Linked DNA regions of Notamacropus eugenii. The protein of the gene in region 1 interacts with the protein of each later gene in a pairwise test. Links are inferred from orthologs where the notes say so. Each region holds a gene or a part of one and is shown on either strand. Other genes may lie near its edges. The genes, in order: ARR3, ZNF496 and GNMT.

Region 1 (6,948 bases):
CTGGGAAAGAGAAGACCCTGGCGAGGCAGGGTGCAAGAGCCTTGCCACTGAGCACATTGGTGGTAGAAAGACCCAGAAAGACCTGCATGAAATAACGCAGAGGGAAATGAGCAGAATCAAGAGAACATCATATACAGTAACAGAGAGACTGTTCAAAGAGTAACCGGGAACGGCTGAGCCGTCCTGAGTAATGGGATCATCCAAACAGTTATGAAGGACTGGCGAAGGAAAATGCCATGCACCTCCAGAGAAAGAACTGACGGATAGAAGGATGTATTGTATGGTTCTGTGTGTGTGTGTACATGTGTGTATGTATATGTGTATATGTGTTTGTGTGTCTGTATTGTGTATGTATCTGTGTCTGTCTGTACATATATGTATATGTGTATGTCTGTGTATGTCTGTATATGTCTGTGTGTATGTAGACCTGTGTCAAATGTTGGCCTTCTTTAACTCAGGTTAGGGACAAAGGGATGGAGACAGCTCAGAACTCAAAATGTAACAAAAAAAGAAATTCTAAAAAATGAAAAGGACAAAAATAAGAGCCCTGCTCCCAGCTGGGTGAGCCCTGCCTGCCCACACCAACCATCAGGAAAAGCAGGTTAAGGTTGGCTCCGAGGTAGATCAGAGATCATCTTCTGCCTGTGGGCAGGGCTGGTGAGGGCAGCTAAGCAGACTGGAGGGCCAAGAATAAACCCCAGCGTCAATCTCTGTCTCTATCAGGCAAAGCACTAGAGCTGCTTAGGATCACTTACATTGGCTTAGCTTGGCCCCTAGAGACTGGCAGATGGAGAAGGAGGCTGCAAGCCAAGGGCTGATGCTGAAGGCACCATGCTCCAACTGGTACCTTCTGGTCTCCTAGCCCCTGACCTGTGAATCCCAGGTATTACCTGCCCCCGAGAGTGAAAGTTCAGGCTCCCCTCCTCATCCTTACTCCTTATATCTCTCCCTGTCTCTCTGTCTCTGTCTATCTGTCTGTCTGTCTGTCTCTCTCTCTCTCTCTCTCTCTCTCTCTCTCACACACACACACACACACACACACGCATATTATTACATGCAAACATGTACATATGCAGACCTTAGAAGGATATACATTTGCAAACATCCCAATCTATCCTTTAAAAAAGTTCTCCCCTTGCCTCTGCCATCCCTCCAACTGTGCTCCCATATTTCACCATCCTTGCACTTCCAAAGTCCTCGGGGAAAACCCCCAGACTCCTTCATTCATTGTCTAGTCCTTCCCAGATTCCTTGCAGTTTGGCCTCCAGCTCTCCTACTCTCTTAAAATGACCTTGTCATTATTATTTCCTTCTTAGCCCTCCTTGAGCTTCTGGGACATTGCTCTCTCTTGGTCTTCCTCCTCCAACTTGTCTGATTCCTCAGTTTCCCTTGCTGGATCTGTCTTCTGCTCCCAAGCATGAGTGTCCTCTAAGGTTCCATCTTGGACCCTCTTCTCTTTTCAATTTAGGGCCTCAGTCAATCAATCAATCAGCTGACTGACTGAAAGCTTACACAGTGATCCGTACACATGCATGTAAATGGCCATCTATCCAGACATGCACCTCACTTGGGCTTTACAACACTGCTGGGACTAGTAACTTGCTTTTAGATATGAGAAAGTAGAGGTTGTGAGAAATGAAGAGGCTTGCCTGAGACCTAGAAAGGACCTTGCTTGGGCCTTGTGACTCCCAGGCCAACTATCTTTCTACATTGCCACACGTAGCATCACTCACATCACCTAGATCACAGCCAGCGTGTCCTCGAGGTCCCAGTGAGCCTGGTTGCCAGTCTCAGGGACCACACTCCCTCTCCCACCCAGTCTGACATGGTGGAATATTCCAGAAGAAGTGGGAAAGAGCATTTCCAGGACAGGACGCTGGGGAGGTCTGCCACAGTCTCCCTGTCCAACCTCCTGCTACTAGGAGCTAATCTCTTAGCTCATAATCTGCTTTCCAAACTCTTATTTCTTGAGCTATTAGGGGCTATGCTATTTCTCTTCCCCTCCCACCCCAAAGTTAATCAGGCTGAGCCCCCTCTGCCCCAAGGACCTGGGCTATAAAAGGGCTATGGTCAAGAGCACTGCAAGCAGAGCAGGAGGCTGGGCTGCCTTTCATATTTCTCTCCAGGTAACATTTCCTGCCCCTCCGGTTCCATCTCATGCTCCCTCTGTCCATCCATGTCTGCCAATCCTACATCAGCAGGGGATGTTTGGGAGGGGAAATTGCCCCTCCTCCAGCTGAGCCAGCTGCCACCCAGGTCTGAGAGTCTGGGAGCTGTCTAGGCCTAGGCCCCTCAACCCCAGCCTGGCATAACCCTCCACAGCCTGACCTCCATTCCCAGAGGATGGCATAGAAAGAGCCCTGGGGCCCAACAGGCATCACTCATGGTGTTGGTGATGTTTCTAGTCATGAGGCGATGGGACTGTGGGCTAGAAGGCAGGCACTGGGATGAGAATATGAGGAGATCGGATTGGGGAGGACAGTGGTGGGGAGGGAGAAGAGATCTGAGTCAAAGGGAGGTTCCTGGCCCTTGTTCCCACTTCTTTTACTCCCACTTAAGAACCTGATACCTTCTGCCTCCAATAAGTGAGGTCCCTTAGAGAGGGAACATCAGAAAGGGGGATGGACAACAGACTTTGTAGCAGAGGAGTTGAGTATAAATCTAGACTTTGCTTTATCTTGTGTCTTTGTGACCTTGGAAATATCACTCCCCCTTTCTAGGCCTCTGCTTCCTTCTTCTTCTAAACAAACAGGTTGGAATCACTAACCTCTCAGGGCCCTTTCTGCTTTAAGTCTGTGAGACCATGATCTTTCCTGCTCATTAAACTTCCTCAGTAGCCAAAAGATGCTTGCAGCCTTTGTGAGGAGGCTTGAGGGCACATGGTCTAGCCCTCCAGGGACAGAAGGATGCACAGAGGCAAGCCCAGGAGACAGGTCTCACTCAGAGCGCTTGGATCTGGAGACCTCAATAAGCTGAGAACAGTATGCCCTAGTTCCCCGTACTTCTGCCTCTATTGCCTTGAAAGTGTCTTCTCCTTCTGACCAGAGCCACAGCCCTGCTTCTCTCTCCCTGTCCCCAGTCCCTGAACACAGAGATGTGGACAGTCTGGCTGTCAGATCACTTCCTTAGCTTAGCAGAGCAGCCCCCAGCCCCCAAAGCTCAGGACTGTGCCAGCTTTGACTCCCCTCTCCCCTCTCTTCTCTCTCTGCTCCTAACCAATTCTGCCTGCTTCCTCTCCTTCTCACTTCCCTTCTCCCATAGACACCAGGGTCTCCCTTTTAGCATATATGCTGTGGCTAAACCTGGGAAGCACCCCGCCCAGTCTAAGTCTTCTGGATGGAGTCTTTCCTATCCCTTCAGAGCTGACAATTAGGGAATTCCAACGCATTAGTACAGCCAGTCTCCAAAAATATGCAGCAAGCCTATTCAAGAAAAAAATGCACGTATATTTTTCCTGAATTGAATATTCCATTGTGTATATGTAAATGTACACACATATATATGTTCTTTGTACATATGTACATATACATATGCATTTATATGCATATATAAAATAGGACAGGGAAGTATGAGGGAGAACGTGTGCGTGTGTGTGCGTGTGTGTGTGTGAGGGGTGAGGAAGGGCCTGTGACAGCTGGGAGGGAGAGGGGTTACAGAGCAAGGAAACCAATCTCTTGTGGCACCAGGTGGTAAACTATCTACCATCCTCCCCCCAACTGAAAGTCCTCCTGGGGGCTCAGGAGCTGGCAAAGGGGAGAGGTGCCAGGGAACCAACTTGCCGAAGCCTCCTCTCTCTGAGGGTCGTGGGTGTTGGTATTGGAAGGGACCTCGGAGATCCTCCCATCTAGCCCCTTCATTTTATAGCTCAGGAAACTGAGGCCCAGAGAGGAGTGATTTGCCCAAGGTTACCCAGGAGGTCACAGATACCAAGTCCCACGTCAAGACTTTCAGCTCCCAACCCAAGGAGTGCTCCCAAACTGAGTCCATGGCCACCAGCTCCAAGTAAGACACCCTTTCTACTCCCTGTGATTCCCTGAGCACCCCATGCTCCATACCCCCCAGTCTTCACTATCTCCCCAACAGTGCTTGCTGTGAGCATAGGGGGATAGCTCCCAGCCTTCCCACCCTCACCCCATGCCTTGCCCTCTCATTCCCAGCTATGTTCTCACCACCATTTCCTCCCTAATTCCAGCAACAACCATTTCTTTCATACAAACCCTGCCTCCCCATAACTATTTTGTCTCCTACTCTTCAGGGTGTTTAAGAAGACCTGCCTCAATAGGAGGGTGAGAGGCTCCAGGCCAGCGGGAGGGAGGTCAACGTGCATCATTGAGCAATCTCAGGGAGGTTTGAGCAGAGGGATCATGGTGTGTGATTTGGAGAATTACAGGAGGGGCTTTTTTTCCAACAGCTTTCCATCTACCTAGGGAAACGAGACTTTGTGGACCATATAGACTCAGTGGAACCCATTGGTCAGTGACCTCCAGATGGCCAGAGATCTTGACATCAATAGGGTGGAGGGGAGGGATCCTGAAATAAAGGCATGAAATAAAGAAGGAAGCAAATGGGGGGGGGGGGTGCAGGAGATCCCTTCCAGGGGCACCTCTCCTCAAGCCTTCTCATCCACTTCCACAGATGGTGTTGTCCTGATTGACCCTGAGTACTTGAAAGATCGAAAAGGTAATGGGGCATATGTGTGTGTGTGTGTGTGTGTGTGTGTGTGTGTGTACATGTAAGAGAGAAAGAGAGAGACACAGATACAGAGAGAGAGAAAGAGGCAGAGAGCCAGAGACAGACAGAGACAGAGAGAAACAGAGACAGAGAGATGGAGAGAGACAGAAACAGAGACAGACAGAGAGACAAACACAGAGACAAAGATAGAAAGCCAGACAGAGAGAGCCCACCTATGCTCTGTGTATGTGTCTTTCTATCTTTCTTGAGTCTGTATCTTTCGAGTCTGGGATGGGGAAACTACGCTGTTCTTCTCCAGGTCCTAAAGTAATTAGGTAGAAAGAGAAAATGTCCCGATGCCATTACAGAGTCTCACCCCGCCAACCAATGTCAGTAACCCATCCCAAGTAGAAGAGATCCAGTCACTAAGAGAAGAGGAGGAGCTGGGGGTCCCAGAGCAATTCAGGAATCAAGATAAGAAAGGCCCACAAGCCCCCAAGCCCAGGCACTTAACCTCATGGATGAGGCAGCTAAAGAAATGACACGGACAGATCAGTACTAAGAATTGCAATTAGGGGCTTTCCCCTGGGGGGGGGGGTGTTTTTGGGTTCCTATATTAACCCTCCTAAATGGACTCGATTTGGAAAATCACTCATGAGTTAAAAGCTGGTTTTAAATGAAGCTTTTAGCCACAGTAAGCTGAGGCAGCTCAAGTGTCTCTGAGAGGTCAGAGAGAGCCTAGTGTTCTGGGGGTCAGGAGCCTGGACTTCTGAGCCTCTGCTCTGCCCTTGCTAGGCCTCTCTGTGTTACCTCCATTCCATCCTCTGTAAAATGAGGGGATTGGCTTCAAAGGCCTCTGACAATCGGAGAGCTTTGACACATCAAACACGCTTGTAAGCTAAATGAGTTTCCCAAGTTGAAAAGCTCAAAGCCTTCAGAATGATCCTCCCAGAATGAACATTTCTTTGGAAAATAAACTTTCAAGCTTGAAAAAAAGAAGTGGACAAGTTGTTTTGAAGGCAGAAAGGAAAGTTTCACTACCAAACAATAAGCATTTCCAAGGACGGTGACACCTTCTGACCAGGGCTCCTGTGCACCCTAACGTCATCTTTGTTGCGTTTGACTCTTGGTGACCCCACTTGGGGTTTTCTTGGCAAAGATACTGGAAGGGTTTGCCGCTTCCTTCTCTAGTTCATTTTAAAGATGAGGAAGCTGAGGCAAACAGGGGGAAGTGACCTGCCCCGGGTCACATGGCTATTAAGTGTCTGGAGCCAGATTTGAATTCAGGTCATCCTGACTCTGGGCCCTGTGCTCTATCGCACCACTTAGTTACCCTTGCTGTTCATCTCCCCACCCCCCAGTCTATTGAGGCTCCCTCTTGTCTGTCCTCCTTTCTGCCCCTCCTTCACTTGGGCTCTATTCTTACATTCACTCAGTCATTTGATAAGCACGTATTGCACACTGACTAAAATAAAGCACCAGGCACTGTCCTAGGTGCTGGAGCTACAAAGACAAAAATCCTGAAGTCCCTGTCTTCAGGGAGCTTACAGGCCAGCAGAAGGATGAGGCCTCAGCAGTATACTGTCACACCACCAAGGACCTGGGATTTTGTTGGTTTGGAAGCTCCCTCTACCAGTACTTACCTAAAACAGAGTCACAGAGAGTTACCTGAAGCCCAAAGAGATTAGCTAGTGAGTATAAGAAGCAGGATATGAGCCCATTGAGCCCTGCCTCCAATCCAACCCTCTGCCATGCTACCTTTGGATTGCATCTGTGGGGCTTATTCAGGGCCCTGTTCAGGGCCAGCCCATCCCAGCCCCCATGTCAGTACCTCCTCATTTCCCCGCAGTCTTTGTGGTGCTGACTTGTGCCTTCCGTTATGGCCGGGATGATCTGGACGTGATCGGTCTGACATTCCGAAAAGACCTCTATGTGCAGGCCCTGCAAGTTTTCCCCAAAGAGCCCACCCAAGCCCCATTGCCCCTCACAAGCCTTCAAGAATGCCTGCTGCAAAAGCTGGGTGACAGTGCCCATCCCTTTACCTTCCAGGTGAGCCCCAAGCCCTGGAGGACAGAACTGGGCATTGGGGGGGGGGGGAGCACAGAGAGTAGGGGAAGTAGGAGAAAGGCCCTGACCTTCCTGTCTGCTGACCTCCTTCTGATATCCCCCTCCCTTTGACAGCTGCCCACCAATCTGCCTTGTTCAGTGACCCTGCAGCCTGGGCCCGAGGATGCTGAAAAGGTGAGATCCTGCTTCCCTGGGGGAACAGGCCAGTGG
Region 2 (7,269 bases), on another chromosome or scaffold:
CCCACTCCAGTCCCACTATGCCAAGTATCTAGGTCAGAGCACTGCTGGCTCCTGCTGCCAGAGGGCTCCCATCTGACCACATTGTGAACTTCCACAGAATTTAGGCTTTCCCCTCACAAGGTTGCAAGCCTCAGGTGCTTCTTCAGGTGTAGACTTTCAGCCTGTTTTCTGGGCTGATGCTGGCTTCCCTAGTGGAATCTCTCTCCCAGTGACCACAATTTCTGACTTTTTCTTCGATTTTGGTCTGGATGAAGGCATTTATTATCATTTCTCTTTGAACTTTTTGACCGTCATTTCATCTTGTGCCTTTTTACATTTTTGCTAGAGTACATGTGGGAAATGTAGACTGTTTAAATGACCTTTCATGTCACTCTTCTAACCATTAATCTTCCCTATAGATTTTAAACTTGTTAGTAACTGTTTATCCCAGTTCTAAGAAGATTTATCAGTAGAACTCAAGTTTTGCCTGTTCTACCAAGTTGGAAAGACCTACCTACAGTGATGAAAATCCAGGACTGAAGGGTCAATTTAGCTAAATTTATTAATGATTGGGCTTGGGTTTCTGTTCAGGTTAACGATGGACAGTAAGTTTTCTCACAGAGAAGTTAGCAAAGTAGAAAAACACTACCTCTTCTACGATGGTGAATCTGTTTCAAGAAAATTATTTTCTTAAAGTGCTAATAAAATAAGTATGATTTTATTGCTTGTCACCTTGAACCCATCCTGATGCTAACATCTCTATAAAGATGGACATCAGCATTGAAATTGTCTATATGTAGAATCTGAATATAATAAATCTTTAAAATATCATTCAAAAGATGTCATTATTGGAAAATAATTCTTATTAGAAAGAACAAAAATTGAGCATATGGAGTTATAGCCAATATAAGAGATCATTAGAATTAAGCCCAGCATTTAGGACCATAACTAAATATGAAATAATGGATAGGATACAAGCTAAAGGTGAACTGACTCTTTCCAGGAGGGTATGACCCAACTCTAACAATAAGATGTGAAGAAAAATTTCCAAGTAAGATACTTTTGCAACCTAGTCCTCATGAATGAGGAAGGCAAATGGTACTTCAAGCAGTAGGAGATCATTTTATAGAGAAGAGCTTCTGAGAAACTGAAGAGACAAGAGAAAAAAAAAAAACTTTCACCAGCAGAATCTCTAGAATCACAGGTGTATGTTAAGCAGCCTCAAATCTGAATTAAGCATGAGGGAAAACTGTAAAAGTTCAAAAAAGTCAAGATGGTTGCAACCTACAGGGGAAAAATAGGCCAAAATTTCATTTATAACTGTTACCCTTAATCTGATCCTGCTGTATTTATTTTGTTATACTACTAAATGTTCTTCAAAATATTTTTTCCCTGAAACATTGGAACTTCCTCAAATTGCCAGGGTGTTGTCTTTTTTTTTTTTTACTTCATACTTTGATTTGATGATAATATGCATTCAGATATGCATAAGCCTAAACAGTTAAATATTTCATCTGTGTAGGTTGATGTTTTGTAATTTCATATTCCTCCTATAGGATTATAGATCATAAAACTTCCTGCCCCCATCCATTTCCAGATCACTGATATTCTTTTCAAAACAAGACCTGTGTTTGGATGATATTAGAAAGTTCAAGTGGTTATGGTGTTATGTAAAAATTTACAACTAGGTATTCTATGCCTACACCTTTCACTGAGTATATTTTAGAAGTCTTGTATGCGTCTGAGAGGTTTATATATGATTCTTTTGTTCTAAGTCTCCCATTCCATAATGTTTTAAATTTATAGCTTCATTACAACCTTGCAAATTAAGGAAATACATAACGTAGTGGGTTGATCACAATTTTAGTTCCATTGTCTCTTTTTGCCATTCTTAGTCTACAGCCCTTCTGTAGATTTTCTACAGTGTTAATAATTTAAAATTGTGAATTTTCATATAAGATTTTTCCCCCTGTACTTTAAGGTATTTTACTTTTTAAGTATTAGGGAAATTTTAGATATGTGTGCAGAAAACACCAATTCTTAAATTCACAAACCTATTAACTGTTAGGATAAATGGACTCTGTGTCATCTCCGATTCATATCTTCTTAAAGATACTTGTGTTAAACTGTAGCTCTAAACAGTCACAACTCAGATTTCACAAGCTAACTTTTCTAGGAAATACATAGTGTCTGTCTTAATTTTGTTTATCACTGAATTTAAGTCCTCATTTGTTCAGATTCTTAAGAGAAGGTTGTACTTGTGAACATATGTTCACAAGTATGAGTTCAGTTCTTAGATGTATTATATATATGTACTTAATTATACATATGTACTATTATAACTATAACTATATATGTGTATACATGTGTGTGTATATATATATATACGTATATATATGTATATACGTATATATATATATATTTCTCATCTGATACACAGCAAAGTCACTTGCTCTTAAGGTTCATGAACCACCTAAGATAATTTTTTTGTAAACTTCAGTACAAGCCTTGTCAATTAACCTTATATTATGAATAAGCTAAATCATCTTGACTACATTTCTCTAAGAACTGTTTTCCTACTATGCCACTTTGACAAAAGTCAGTACTCAATTTTTCTTATTGGCAGACGATTCTATGTACTGTGGGTGTCTGGGAATGGAAACAGATTGATTTTTTTACCCTCATGTAAGGTGCCTGTTAAGAATTTTATTAAATGCCAAATACTTTCATGGTAAAGTCACATATTATAATCTAAAAACTGTATTTAAGAATTATGAGAACTGTATTTAACCAGCTTCAAGTTGTGCGACTGTGCATAATAAAGAATTTGAAACAGATAATGAGCTATTTGAATGATTAAAAACAGCAGTATCGTCAAAAAATTTTTTACTGAGACTCATGATCAAGCTGGTTACACAGCATAATGAATTTTTCTACTATTACAGTTCTATTACAATTGCCTAATAAATTCTAGTATAAGTCTAAGGAGGAGTATAACCCATTCCAATGAACTCACAGATCCTTTGCAAACCTTAAAGCAGATCTATATGTTAACTAATATTAGTCTTATCCTTGAATAGATACTCCAATTTATTTTGTTTCCCTTACGGCTTCAAGCACAGTATCATTCCACAAGTAATAGCTCAAGAAATGGTTTTTTTTTAGATAGAAATTCTATTTCTATTCTATTCGGTGTTTTAATAGAAAACAGAAAACAAATTAATTTTTAAAAAGAAATGTTTTTGAATAGTCTTTAAGATTTAAAAAAGCACCTTACTTCACACGAACAGTTAAGTAGATGCTGCAAGTATTATTATCTACAAAAGATCATTGAATTATTAGATTCAGAGCTGGAAAGGACCTCAGAATCTCCTGGTTCAAAGCCCTCATTTTACAGATGAGGAAACTGAGGCTTGAGAACGTTATATGACCTCCGAGGTCACACAGGGAGTAAACACCAAAGGCAGGATTTGAACCTATTTGAACCGACTACCGCCAGTACTCTTTCCAGTTTTCCAGATTAACCTGACCATGATCACACAGATAGAGTTGGAGGGATTCCCTGTAATCCAACGCTAACCACCACACTTCACTCCTGCTCAACCTTTGTGGTTAATGAATCCCTTGTCTGTGTGCAACATTGTATTCATTTCAGGAACGAATCTAAGGACTTTAAAGGACTGCGTCTGGTCTTCCTACAAAGTCCAGCCTTAATTGCATTGAGACATCTAATAGATGACTGTACTTTAGCGTCGCTGGAAATGAAGACGACACAGCAGAGAAGCTGCAACATTTCTGGAAGCAGTGAAATCAACATGCGTGCTCAGGGGGCGTGCTGCCCAAGCCCGGAGTGGCTGAGATCTACATGGTCTCCTCTGCAAACACCGGACATTCCAAAGACACCTCTTTGGCTTCTGAAGGCCCGGCGGTCCGTTCGCAGAAGGCCCGAGGGCAGCCCTCTCTCTTTTAAGAAGCCCTTCTAGATCAGCCTACGCTGTTCTTCAAGTCGAAGCATCCCAAAGCCGTAAGAAGACACTTCCGAACGGGTTTAAAAAGGGAAGCCTTCAGCCTATGGGATACATTCCTTTGGGTAACTTCCTTCTCCTCGCGGAGGAAACGGAGCCGGCCCAAGACCCGCGGCTGAGCTGCGCCACCTGCCGGCAGAGGTTTCTTGGGTCCGAACTTTTTCCCGTGTGACGTCACCGCCTGGAGCCAATCAGCAGTTCTCCTCTGGGCTCTCCCCAAGTCCTCGCCAAGCGAATGGAGATGAAGTGAAGAAGCCCGGAGACTGAGTGCAAAGATTCCGATCAGTCCTGAGGTGAAGGGTAAGAAAGAGCGAGAGGCCAACCGACTGTGTTTGCGGCGGGGGGAGGGGAGGGCGGTGCCGCCAGGAGAGCGGGCCGGACGAGGAGGGGGAGAGCGGGGCAGGCCCACGGCCGGACCCCAGCCGCCGCCACTCCGAGGTAAATGGAGGCCGGGCAGGCCCCGCCGTTTCGGGGGAGGCCGGGTTCCGGGCCGGAAGTAGCCGGGGCCCCGCCTCACATACTGTCATCCCGGGGGAAGCCTCGGCTCGTTTCCCGCCCCGGCCGGTGGCTGCCACTGTCGGGTCCTCTCCAAGCCGGCCCTCGACCCCGCTCGGTGGCCGCCGGCCCTGGGTACCCTCGGGTACCCGGAGGCTTCTCCCCACCAACGGAAAACCCGTCACTAGCCTTCTCCCGCTCCGCCTCGCGTTTCCCCTGCCTTCTGGGGGCCCCTTCCTTTACTGTGGTGCAGTGGCAGGATGGACAGTCGGACGGCCGAAAGCCCGACTCCCCCCTTAGGCCTGTGGCCTTAAACAGATTCCTTTTCGGTGGGCCTCTGTTTCATCACGTATAGAACGGCGTGTGTGGTGGGGGTGGATTTGCTCATCTCCAGTGGCCCTTCTGACTCAAAATTTTTACCCCGGTCTCTTTAACAGAACTAAGTTTTTGTGGTATTTACTGAAACTTAGCCTTCTCTTGTAAACATCAGGCGCCTTTATATGCTCTCCAAGGCTCACTCCTTTTTCCCTCGTAGAAGGATGAGTTGGCATGCTGATACTCTTTTAAACACTGGCTCACCCTTACCTAGCAACCATCTTTAACGGTCGATCAGTTAACCGGGATTTATTAAGTACCTTCTTTATGCCAGACACTACTTCTCTACAAATAAACCCCTCCCCCCCAAAAAAAGATCCCCCTGCCTTCAAGTAACTTATGTTGTATCGGGGAAAATAACAGGTATACATATAAATAAATACAAAATATCCAGAAAATAAACACTAATCATTTGCTGCTGTCTGTGGATACACAGATCACGTAAGTCGATTACCTGGCTCAAAATTTTCTATGAGCTTTGTTTCCTTGGCACAGTCTGACCTGGCTCCACAACCTTCGCAATGACTTCTTTCTCAAAAGGGTCATAGCTGAGACTCTTCTCACTACTTCAAATGATTCCTGATCATGACTCTGTCTTGGATGTTTGCTGAATTGCTGAGGACAGAAAGGAGACTTTTGGCCATGGATGATACTTGTTGCTTTACTGTGTTCGTCCTTCCTTGCAGAGGAAGACCATGCCATCGGAGAAATAATGACATGACTTGTACTTGACTTTGTTTTGAGTGAGAGAGGACTGTGTAGGTCACCAGCCTCACTTCTCCTCTCCTCCAGCCTCACCAGCAATCTGAATCCAGTGACCAGATATTCATCAGGATGACTGGAGATGACCCAGGATGAGGCAATTAGGATTAAGTGACTTGCCCAAGGTCACACAGCTAGTGAGTGTCAAGTGTCTGAGGTGAGAGTTTCTGAGGTGTTGCTTTACTAAGAGAAACGGGAAGAATGGGTCTCTTCAATCTTCTCCTGCATGCTCAGCCTACTACTTGGTGAATGAAGCAGTTTAGGAAACAGAACATGAAATAGATAGAACTGAATCAGGGTAACATGGAAAAAGTGCTAGATTGAGAATTTTGTTCCTCAGTGAAAGATCAAAAAATGTTAGGACTTAATCCAAATCTTTCCACTATGCAAGACTGCTTTTGTAATGCATTATAAAATTCCTTTTAAGATCTAACATGATATAATTAAATCTTCACTCTCTTCCACCAAGGGACCAGTTAGTTGTTGATAGTAGCCTAATTCAGACCTGTTTCTCCTTTTCATCTTTTCCCTTCCTACCCTTTCCCCATTTGCCTTCCTTTTCTTTCCCATTTCACCCCCCTTTCTTATTTTTGTTCTCTCATGCTTAAGATAACATGAGAAAAAATGTCTAAGAATTCAGTAATTATTATTTCTAAAACAAGGTTGCCTTGATTTTCTCAGTTTCCTCATTTCACATATGCAATCAGTTGCAAAATCTTGTTATTTCTATGTTAACGTCTTTCTCATAGGTCTCTTTTTCTCCAGTAACAGCTACTACCTTAATTCAGGGCCTTAATACCTATCATATTGCGACAAACTCTTATTTGGTCTCTCTGCCTCAAGTTTCTCCCAATCCCAATCCATCTTCCTGCCAAAGTGATTTTCCTCAAGTGAAGGTCTAACCTTGTTACTCATCCACTCAGTAAACTCCCAAACAGTGACTCTGATACCTCTAGGATCAAATATAAACATATAAAGCTGTATGGGGCAGCTAGGTGGTACAGTGGATAGAGTACCATTGCAGGAGTCAGGAGAACCTGACTTCAAATCTCACCTCAGACACTTGACACTCACTAGCTGTGTGACCTTGGGCAAGTCACTTAACCCAAAGTGACTCATCCTGGGTCATCCCCAGTCATCCTGATGAATATCTGGTACTGGATTCAGATAGCTCTGGAGGAGAAGTTAGGCTGGTGACTCTCCCTCACTCAAAACAAAGTCAAGCACAAGTCATGTTATTATTTCTCTGATGGCATGGTCTTCTTCGGCAACAACAAACACATATAAAGCTGTATATAACCTGGGCCTTTCCTACATTTCTAGTTTTATGCAGTATTCTCTTTTGCCTAATAATTGTTCAGCATTTCTGGAATGCTTTCCCTCCTACCTCTCAGGATCTCTAATTTGCTTCCAAATCAAATTCAATCAACACCTTTTATACAGTGTTTCTTGATCCCCAAAAATGCTAATGCTCTGCCTCCCCAAATTACTTTATGTTCATCTAGTATATATAGTTTTATATTCTTACATGTACATATTCGCTCCCCCAAACGGAACTCAACTCCTTGAGGGCAGAAACTGTTTAACTTTTGTCTCTGTATCCCCGGAGCTTAGCACTGTGCCTGGAACATAG
Region 3 (6,944 bases), on another chromosome or scaffold:
CCCGGGCACGAGGTTGGTAGCATGATGAGGATCAGGCTTTTGAATCACGTTCTCAAATCACAGTTGATCAGAATGCTTTAAATCATGGAAGTATTGTTTTCCCCATTTTATACATAAAGAAACTGAGGCTTAGATTAAGTAAATTGCCCAGTGTCACATAGCCAACAAACACTGGAGCTGGGATTCGAATCCACTTCTCATTTGAGATGCATGCTTCCTGAATGAATACAAAGCCATCCCTTGTATCCCTGGCATGCTGCCTTTCCTAAGCCTTAGTACACTAGGCCTCAGCCAGCAGCTGATGCCCATCAGGTACTTGGCAGATGAACTCTCCTGGTCCTTGTTGGTCGTCTGAGCACCCTGTCCCTTCCCCTCTCCCTCACCAGGTTGCCTGACTGAACAATGGATCGGCAAGAAAGGGGACACAGCAGCCCTCGGAGGGAAGAAGGCCAAGAAAAAGGGGGGCAAAGGCAAGGCGTCCAGCAAGAAGAGCGGCAAGCAAAGGAAGGATCCCAGAAACTTAGATGAGGACCCTCATCCTGAGGAGGACGAGGGTGTCCAGAAACCCTCCCCTCTCACACACAGCCCCACCGATGAACTGTAGAATCTAACCGAGCGCCCCAGCTGCTGTCCCAGGGGTGCAGAGGGAAGCCCCTGGCTGAGGGACACTCTGCTTTCTCTTGTGCCTCCAGCAGACAAGGGTGGACTCCCCAGTTCTGGGGGTTCACTGCACCCCCTGCTGTGCCCTTGTCTCGCTGAGGACTACAGAACTTGCCCTTCCTTTTCCTTTCCAGGCAGCCGCTTTGCCCCTGGGCTTGGAAGAAGAGCTGTGTGATGGCCCCAGAGCTAAAAACTGCATTATAAACCTTCGAGGGATGGGTCTGAGCATTGCTGAGCCCTCAGGGAGGACTCCATCCCTCATTGTCCCATGGGTGCACCCCCTCCTTCTTCCAGAAACACCTCTCTCCTGGCCCCAGCCCCACCAGGAAGGCCTTCCTCACTCCAGTCCTGGTCTAGGCTGTCTTCCCCAGGGCTCTAGCCGCACCACCCCCCCCCAGCCATGTGACACCCAGTCTCTGCCCCTCTCCAACTCATTTTACTGCACAATGTGCAGAGTAAAAAATATTTGGCCTTTTTACTCAGTGTCCTAACCTCCCTTTATGTGCCTCTCAATTGGCTTTCCTCTCATTCTTCTACCCATAATTCATGGTTCTTGGCATAAGAATGGTGCAAAGGGGAGTGAACCCTTTTTGGCCCTTATTTCCCACTTATTCTGGGTAGTTCTCACAAGCTGATCTGGAAGAGCAAGAGCGAAGAGGGAATCCTGAGAGTGGTGGGGAGATTGTACATGGAGGGTGGGGAGGGGAAGGTAGAGAATGCTAGGAGTAGGCACAGGGGAGAGGGCTCTGTGGCCTCATTTTAACCTAGTTGGATGGAAGCTTTCCTCCTCCACCTTCAGCTTCACATCAGCCCCTACCCTGATGTAGCTGGGCCTTGAAAAGTGACTACAACAAGGACATTTTTAAACACCCCATTCTAGAGTAATAGTCGAAAAGACAGCTGCCTTTGTTCCCACTCGACTTCCTGGAGCCTTTTCCTTTTCTGCTCTAGAATCTGGTAGTCTTCCCAACCCCCTGGCAGCAGGCTCCTTTGTTCCTTTTTCTCCCTTCTGCCTGGTCACCTCCACCGGACATCCTTTATGAATTTGTTCACCCTAGTCCCTCCTCTGTGATGCCAGGTTTTATGTAACGTGTTTACTGCTCCCCTCTTCAGGGCTGCACCCTGCTATTGCACTTTGTTCCCTGCCCCTCCACTCCCCCCAGTTTTTTTCTGTTCCTTTAGAACGCACCATATAGGACTCTCCTCCCCCACCCCAGCCAACACCTGCGCCTTACATGATGCCCTCTGAAGTTAGGGGAGGTGAAGGGGCCCTTTTTGTCCCTCCCCTGCTAGTCCTGAAGTCAAGACCAGGAGCAGCCAGACCCAGGGCCTCCAACACCTGGCACTAATGGTGCAGGGCACAGTTGTGGAACTGGTTTGATTTGTTCTCCCACACCTCCTCTTTAAAAAGGTAGCAGCCATCATCTAGGATGAGGAATACTGAAGGACTTGCCATCGTTGCCTCCTCAAATTTAGAACTGAAAATGACCCTACTTTGTCCTGTCACCATCCAGCCCAAGTCCAGGCCCACTGGCCAACAAATGGGCATTACTGAGAGGCCTCTGGCTATGATGGAGTGCCTTTGTGAACTCAGAAGTCCCAGCATCTAGCCAGTCTTCCCCCCACTCTGAGGAGTTAAGGCAGCCTTGGCCTGGAGAATTGCAAGCTTCTTGTCTTCTCTGGCCTGGACATTTCTCCTGCCACAGATTGTAGAAAAGCAGAACCTGGCCCTTAGAGATTACTTCTACCAGGGCCCTGCTGCCACTCCCCTAATATCCTAGATGAGGTGGGACCCAAGTGAACCTTTTTCTAAAGTCACCAGAACTGGCCCAGTTTCCCCATGGGTATGGAGTTTCCCTCTTCTGGACCTCGATACCCGGGCCTGACACTCGGAACAAAACTGAAGGTGAAGTAGGGAAGGGACTGAGGCTGGGCATAATGTAAGCAGGTCACATCCTTGACCCCTCAATCTGTTTCTCTTGCCAACATCTGATAACTTTCAAAGTTTTCACTAGAAAAGACTGTTCTATGCAAAAGCTAGAGAGAGAGAGAGAGCCCATCCCTCTATATGCAGAATTTATTTCATTGATTTCTTAGGCAGAGGTTTGGCCTCTTTCTGGGGTGGCAGCCAGGCTGCCCAATCCTGTGTAGTAGCAGAGAATTTGACTCCAGTATGACCCTGACCTTTCCCCTCAACAACTAGACTATCACTGTTCCTTTGGTGTTTAAGCAGCCAGGAGCCCTTCCTCCTCTCCCATGTTCGTAACATGTTCTCTGACCTCTGCCCTGCCTCCCCTCCACATCCTGGGATCTTTGGAGAACCTGGTAACACAATAGTTCTGTGTGTTGCAAGCCCTGCCACCCTTGCCCTCTAAACATTTAAGCTCCATTTCCCCTGCCTACTCCCACCTAGTTCTGTATCTTCCACCAGATTTAAAAAAAAAAAAAAATGATGCTGAAGCCAGTTCTGCTCACTTCAAGTCCAATGTTCTAAAGCTGATATGCTGGTTCCATGCCAACCCCTCCCCCCATCTAGAGCCCACTCACCTCTATAGACCCTACTGCCTTGGACCAGTTCACCAGAAGAAGCCCTGGAGAAGCTAGGAGCTGGCTTGCTGTGTTAGACATATAAGAAATTGGGCTAATTGCTTTGAATAATAACTACCTCCAAGTATGGGGGTACATGGAGAGGAAGAGTTGTAAGATGAATTGGAGATAAGATATTATGACCTGACCTAACTCTGATTCATTAATCCATCTACCCACCCCCCAATTCTTCATCTGTTGTTCCTACTTCATGCCTGATGCCTATGTGGACAAAGACATGGTTACCCCCTGACACACACAGCTTGATCCCTTCTAGCTGAGGTCTTGGAGAGTTAACTAGTTTGCCTTTCCTGCCATCCTTGGTTCCCAGAATCCCTGGGTGTGTTCTGTTTCTCTTTCCCTTGGATACCTGGGATCGAGTTGGAGGGGAGATCTCCCACATGACATGCCCCTCTCTTGCTAGCAGTTAGGGAGGAGGGATAGAAAGAAGTAAGGCCATTCACAGGGTCTGGGAGATCAGGAACAGCTGGTTCCTGGCTCTGGGAGAAGACCAGATGGGGGCGTGTCCTGGATCTCACCTGCCATTGGACAGGTGAGGCAGGCAGGGCAGAAAGAGCCAGGGCAGCCTTATAAGAACTTTGGCAGGTGGCTGAGGGGCCAGGTGGAACTGAGAGGATGGCAGACAGTGTGTACCGGACTCGCTCCCTGGGAGTGGCAGCTGAGGGACTTCCGGACCAGTTTGCTGATGGGGAGGCAGCCCGGGTCTGGCAGCTATACATAGGTGACACCCGAAGCCGTACAGCAGAATACAAGGCCTGGCTCCTGGGGCTGCTGCGTCAACACAGCTGCCAGCATGTCCTTGATGTGGCTTGTGGCACTGGGTAAAGCTGGGGCAAGGACAGCACAGGAGGTAGGGGTGGACACCAGGGTCAAAAAGGTTTGGAGGACAGGCGAGACCAGAATGCTCCTGAGGCAGAAGGGAGCTAGGTGGAAAAAATCCTGCCCTGGTAGAAAGTCATCAGAAATTGGGTAGATCTCTAACTGGAAGATACCTCTTTGGGAATGGCAACAGGGAAAACAGAGGGGATGGGAATGGCAAAAATGGACATGTATGTGAGATAGGCATGAGTTGTGGGGGTGCACATATAAGGGAAATGGGGTGAGCTGGAAGTAAGGGCATGGTGGAAAACAGACTAGGAAGGTGTTAAAGGATCTTTTTTTCAAAAGTAAAATGGACTGTCTCTGGTGGTTGTGAGAAAGGAAGTCACGAGTTCTTGAAATGTTGTCTGAGATGATCACTTGTTGGAGTTGCTATAGAGGGGAGTCATGCTTTGGCTGAGTTAAACTGGATGACTTCTGGGTTCCCTTCCAATTCTGAAGTTTTTTGATTCAGTGGGTAAAAAGTATGTTGTGGGGGGGGATCAATGTCAGGGGTAACTCACAAATGTTGGGTTCCTCCTTCTAGTCTTCTTAGTCCCCAGTTTCTCCCTTGACCCTCAGTTCCCATTCTAAAACTGTCCTTTCTATCCCTGTTCTTTCTAAAACCTGCTTTGTCTCCATCATTCCTCTCCCTCTACCCTTCTAATCCTCTCCCTCCAATCATTCTCCCCATCTTCTCTGGCTCATCTTTCCTTCCCTCTTCCTCTCCCCCCGTCCAATCCTGTCATTGCCTGCTGGGCCTGGCACAGGGTGGACTCCATCATGCTAGTGGAAGAGGGCTTCAAAGTGACCAGTGTGGACGCCAGTGACAAGATGCTCAAGTATGCCCTGAAAGAACGGTGGAACCGTCGTCACGAGGAGGCCTTTGACAAGTGGGGTATGTGGGATCTTGGCACAGGAACAGAGGGGCCATACAGAGAACCAGCATCCTCCACATACTGTCCTCCGAAGCACTCTGAGCTAAGTGTCAGAGGACCTGAATTCTAGTCCTGGTTCTGCCATGACTTGCTGTGTGATTTAGAACAAGTCACTTCTGTCTGGTCCTTAGTTTCTTCCTTGTAAAATGATAGTGTGGGAATGGGCAGAAAGATGGAGCAGCTAGGTGAGTGTGGTGGACTTAGTAAAGACTGGAGCTGGAATACTGCCCCAGGCTGTGACCCTGAATATCACCGAGGGCTGGGGAGCCTGCGACCTTGAGGCCACATAGGGTCCTCTAGCCCCTCAGGTGCGGCCCTTTGACTGAATCCAAATCCCCTTCATTAAAGGATTTGTTCTGTAAAACCTGGACTCTGTCAAAAGGCCACACCCGAGGACCTAGAAGGCCACGTGTGTCCTCGAGGCCGCAGGCTCCCCCTTTCTGTGCCTCCTTTCCTCCCTGTAAAATGAGAGGCTGAGACCTCACTGATGACCTCCAAGATCGCTGCCACCTCTAGCCCCAAAGTCTGTGATCAGATCTAACTTTCCTTCTAGCTCTTAACTCTGAGTCTGCAAGGAAGTATTTTTGGGTTCTTCTTGTTCTACCTTCTCTGCTCCTGATTCATGCCTTAATTTTGTAGCTTCCCTTCAGGGGCTCTTGTCTCTTAAGGACAGGGACCTAAGGGCTTAGTGTCTCCTTCCATGGTTGACTTCAAAGCCAAGCCTTCTTGAGGTGACACAGGGATCTGTCCCTTGTCCTTAGCCCTCAATTTTTCTCCAACCCTCTTCATTTTCCCTGAGGTTTGGGTCTCTAAAAGTTTTGCCTGTCTTCCTTGCTTTGGTGGCATGGGATTGGGCCATTCGCTTTTTAATCCTCCATCTGCCATTTACTCAGCTCTGACATTGAGACAAATCTCTCAATCTTCTTCAGCCTCAGTTTTCTCATTTGCCAAATGTCGCTATTAATCACTGCCTTGCATGTTGTGTAAGGTTGTTAGAGGGACTGAATGAGAAAACAATGATGTAGTAAGTGCTTTGGAAACTTGGAAGTGCTATTTCTAACTGGAAGATACCTCTTTGGGAATGGGAACAGGGAAAGAGGTATCATTCTTGTCGTTAGACCAGGTAAGGACTAAAGCCCAACAGGTCAGGACGCCACTCATGGGGCAAAGGACAGCTATCTGCTTCCTACAGATGTGACAACCTTATAAGAACCAGTAGGGAAGGTCCTGGGGTAGAGGAAACAACGAAGGGGATGGTGATTGTTTCCCTCTGTCCATGGCAAAGCAGCTCCCTCTGACTTCTCCCAAAGGAATAGACTTAAATAGCAAAGGGAAACAGGAGGTAGGGTCTGAGGATGGGAACCAAAGAGGTGACTCTGTAACTGCTCTTCCAGTTCTACTGGACCCTTTCCTTGCATGCTACTTGGATGGGCCAAGGGAGCTCAGCAGCCATAATCTCTGTCCTTTAGATCCCTCCTTACTGGCTCTGCCCTACCCCTACCCTCCCTGTGGGGGCCCTCTACTTTTACGTCCCTAAATCGCTACTTTAGTCCAGGAGTGCACTAACGTTTAGTAAGTTCTGGGAGCTTACACTCAACACCCTTTTTGGTTTAATCACAGCATTTTCTCCATCACTTTCCTAAGTCTAGACAATCAACAAAACTGTAAACCAAATCCATATTCCTGTCATTTGCCAATTTCTGTGGTGTGTTTATACTGAAAATTTAACAGTGAGAGTACCAATGCACCTATGCCTTACTCCTTTGGTGGGATCCACGTATATCCCCTCCTCTCCCCCCCTGCCCAAAAAGAAGCCCATGTGGCTGCTTGCCTCTTCAGGACTACAGCGGAAAGCCTGTTGTTCAGGTTTGTTGGCCAATA

Evidence for each region.
Region 2: the proteins of ARR3 (region 1) and ZNF496 interact in binary tests that used the Homo sapiens proteins (3 or more experiments, as listed by UniProt). The two-hybrid records come from large-scale screens. The link is inferred for Notamacropus eugenii from reciprocal best matches to the Homo sapiens genes ARR3 and ZNF496.
Region 3: the proteins of ARR3 (region 1) and GNMT interact in a two-hybrid assay, tested with the Homo sapiens proteins (2 studies listed by BioGRID and IntAct). The two-hybrid records come from large-scale screens. The link is inferred for Notamacropus eugenii from reciprocal best matches to the Homo sapiens genes ARR3 and GNMT.

The regions. Positions count from the first base shown.
Region 1 is NC_092879.1:100,599,078-100,606,025, reverse strand, and holds the start of ARR3 (arrestin-C), read left to right. Parts: upstream 1-3,887; 5' UTR 3,888-3,985; coding exon 3,986-4,002; intron 4,003-4,255; coding exon 4,256-4,286; intron 4,287-4,411; coding exon 4,412-4,472; intron 4,473-4,635; coding exon 4,636-4,680; intron 4,681-6,520; coding exon 6,521-6,720; intron 6,721-6,852; coding exon 6,853-6,912; intron 6,913-6,948. UniProt on the Homo sapiens protein: May play a role in an as yet undefined retina-specific signal transduction. Could bind to photoactivated-phosphorylated red/green opsins.
Region 2 is NC_092873.1:74,849,463-74,856,731, forward strand, and holds the start of ZNF496 (zinc finger protein 496), read left to right. Parts: upstream 1-4,215; 5' UTR 4,216-4,304; intron 4,305-4,355; exon of another isoform or gene 4,356-4,442; intron 4,443-6,687; exon of another isoform or gene 6,688-7,269. UniProt on the Homo sapiens protein: DNA-binding transcription factor that can both act as an activator and a repressor.
Region 3 is NC_092873.1:105,860,079-105,867,022, forward strand, and holds the start of GNMT (glycine N-methyltransferase), read left to right. Parts: upstream 1-3,838; 5' UTR 3,839-3,882; coding exon 3,883-4,088; intron 4,089-4,895; coding exon 4,896-5,023; intron 5,024-6,944. Other genes in the region: CNPY3 (protein canopy homolog 3), read left to right, coding at 387-604. UniProt on the Homo sapiens protein: Catalyzes the methylation of glycine by using S-adenosylmethionine (AdoMet) to form N-methylglycine (sarcosine) with the concomitant production of S-adenosylhomocysteine (AdoHcy), a reaction regulated by the binding of 5-methyltetrahydrofolate.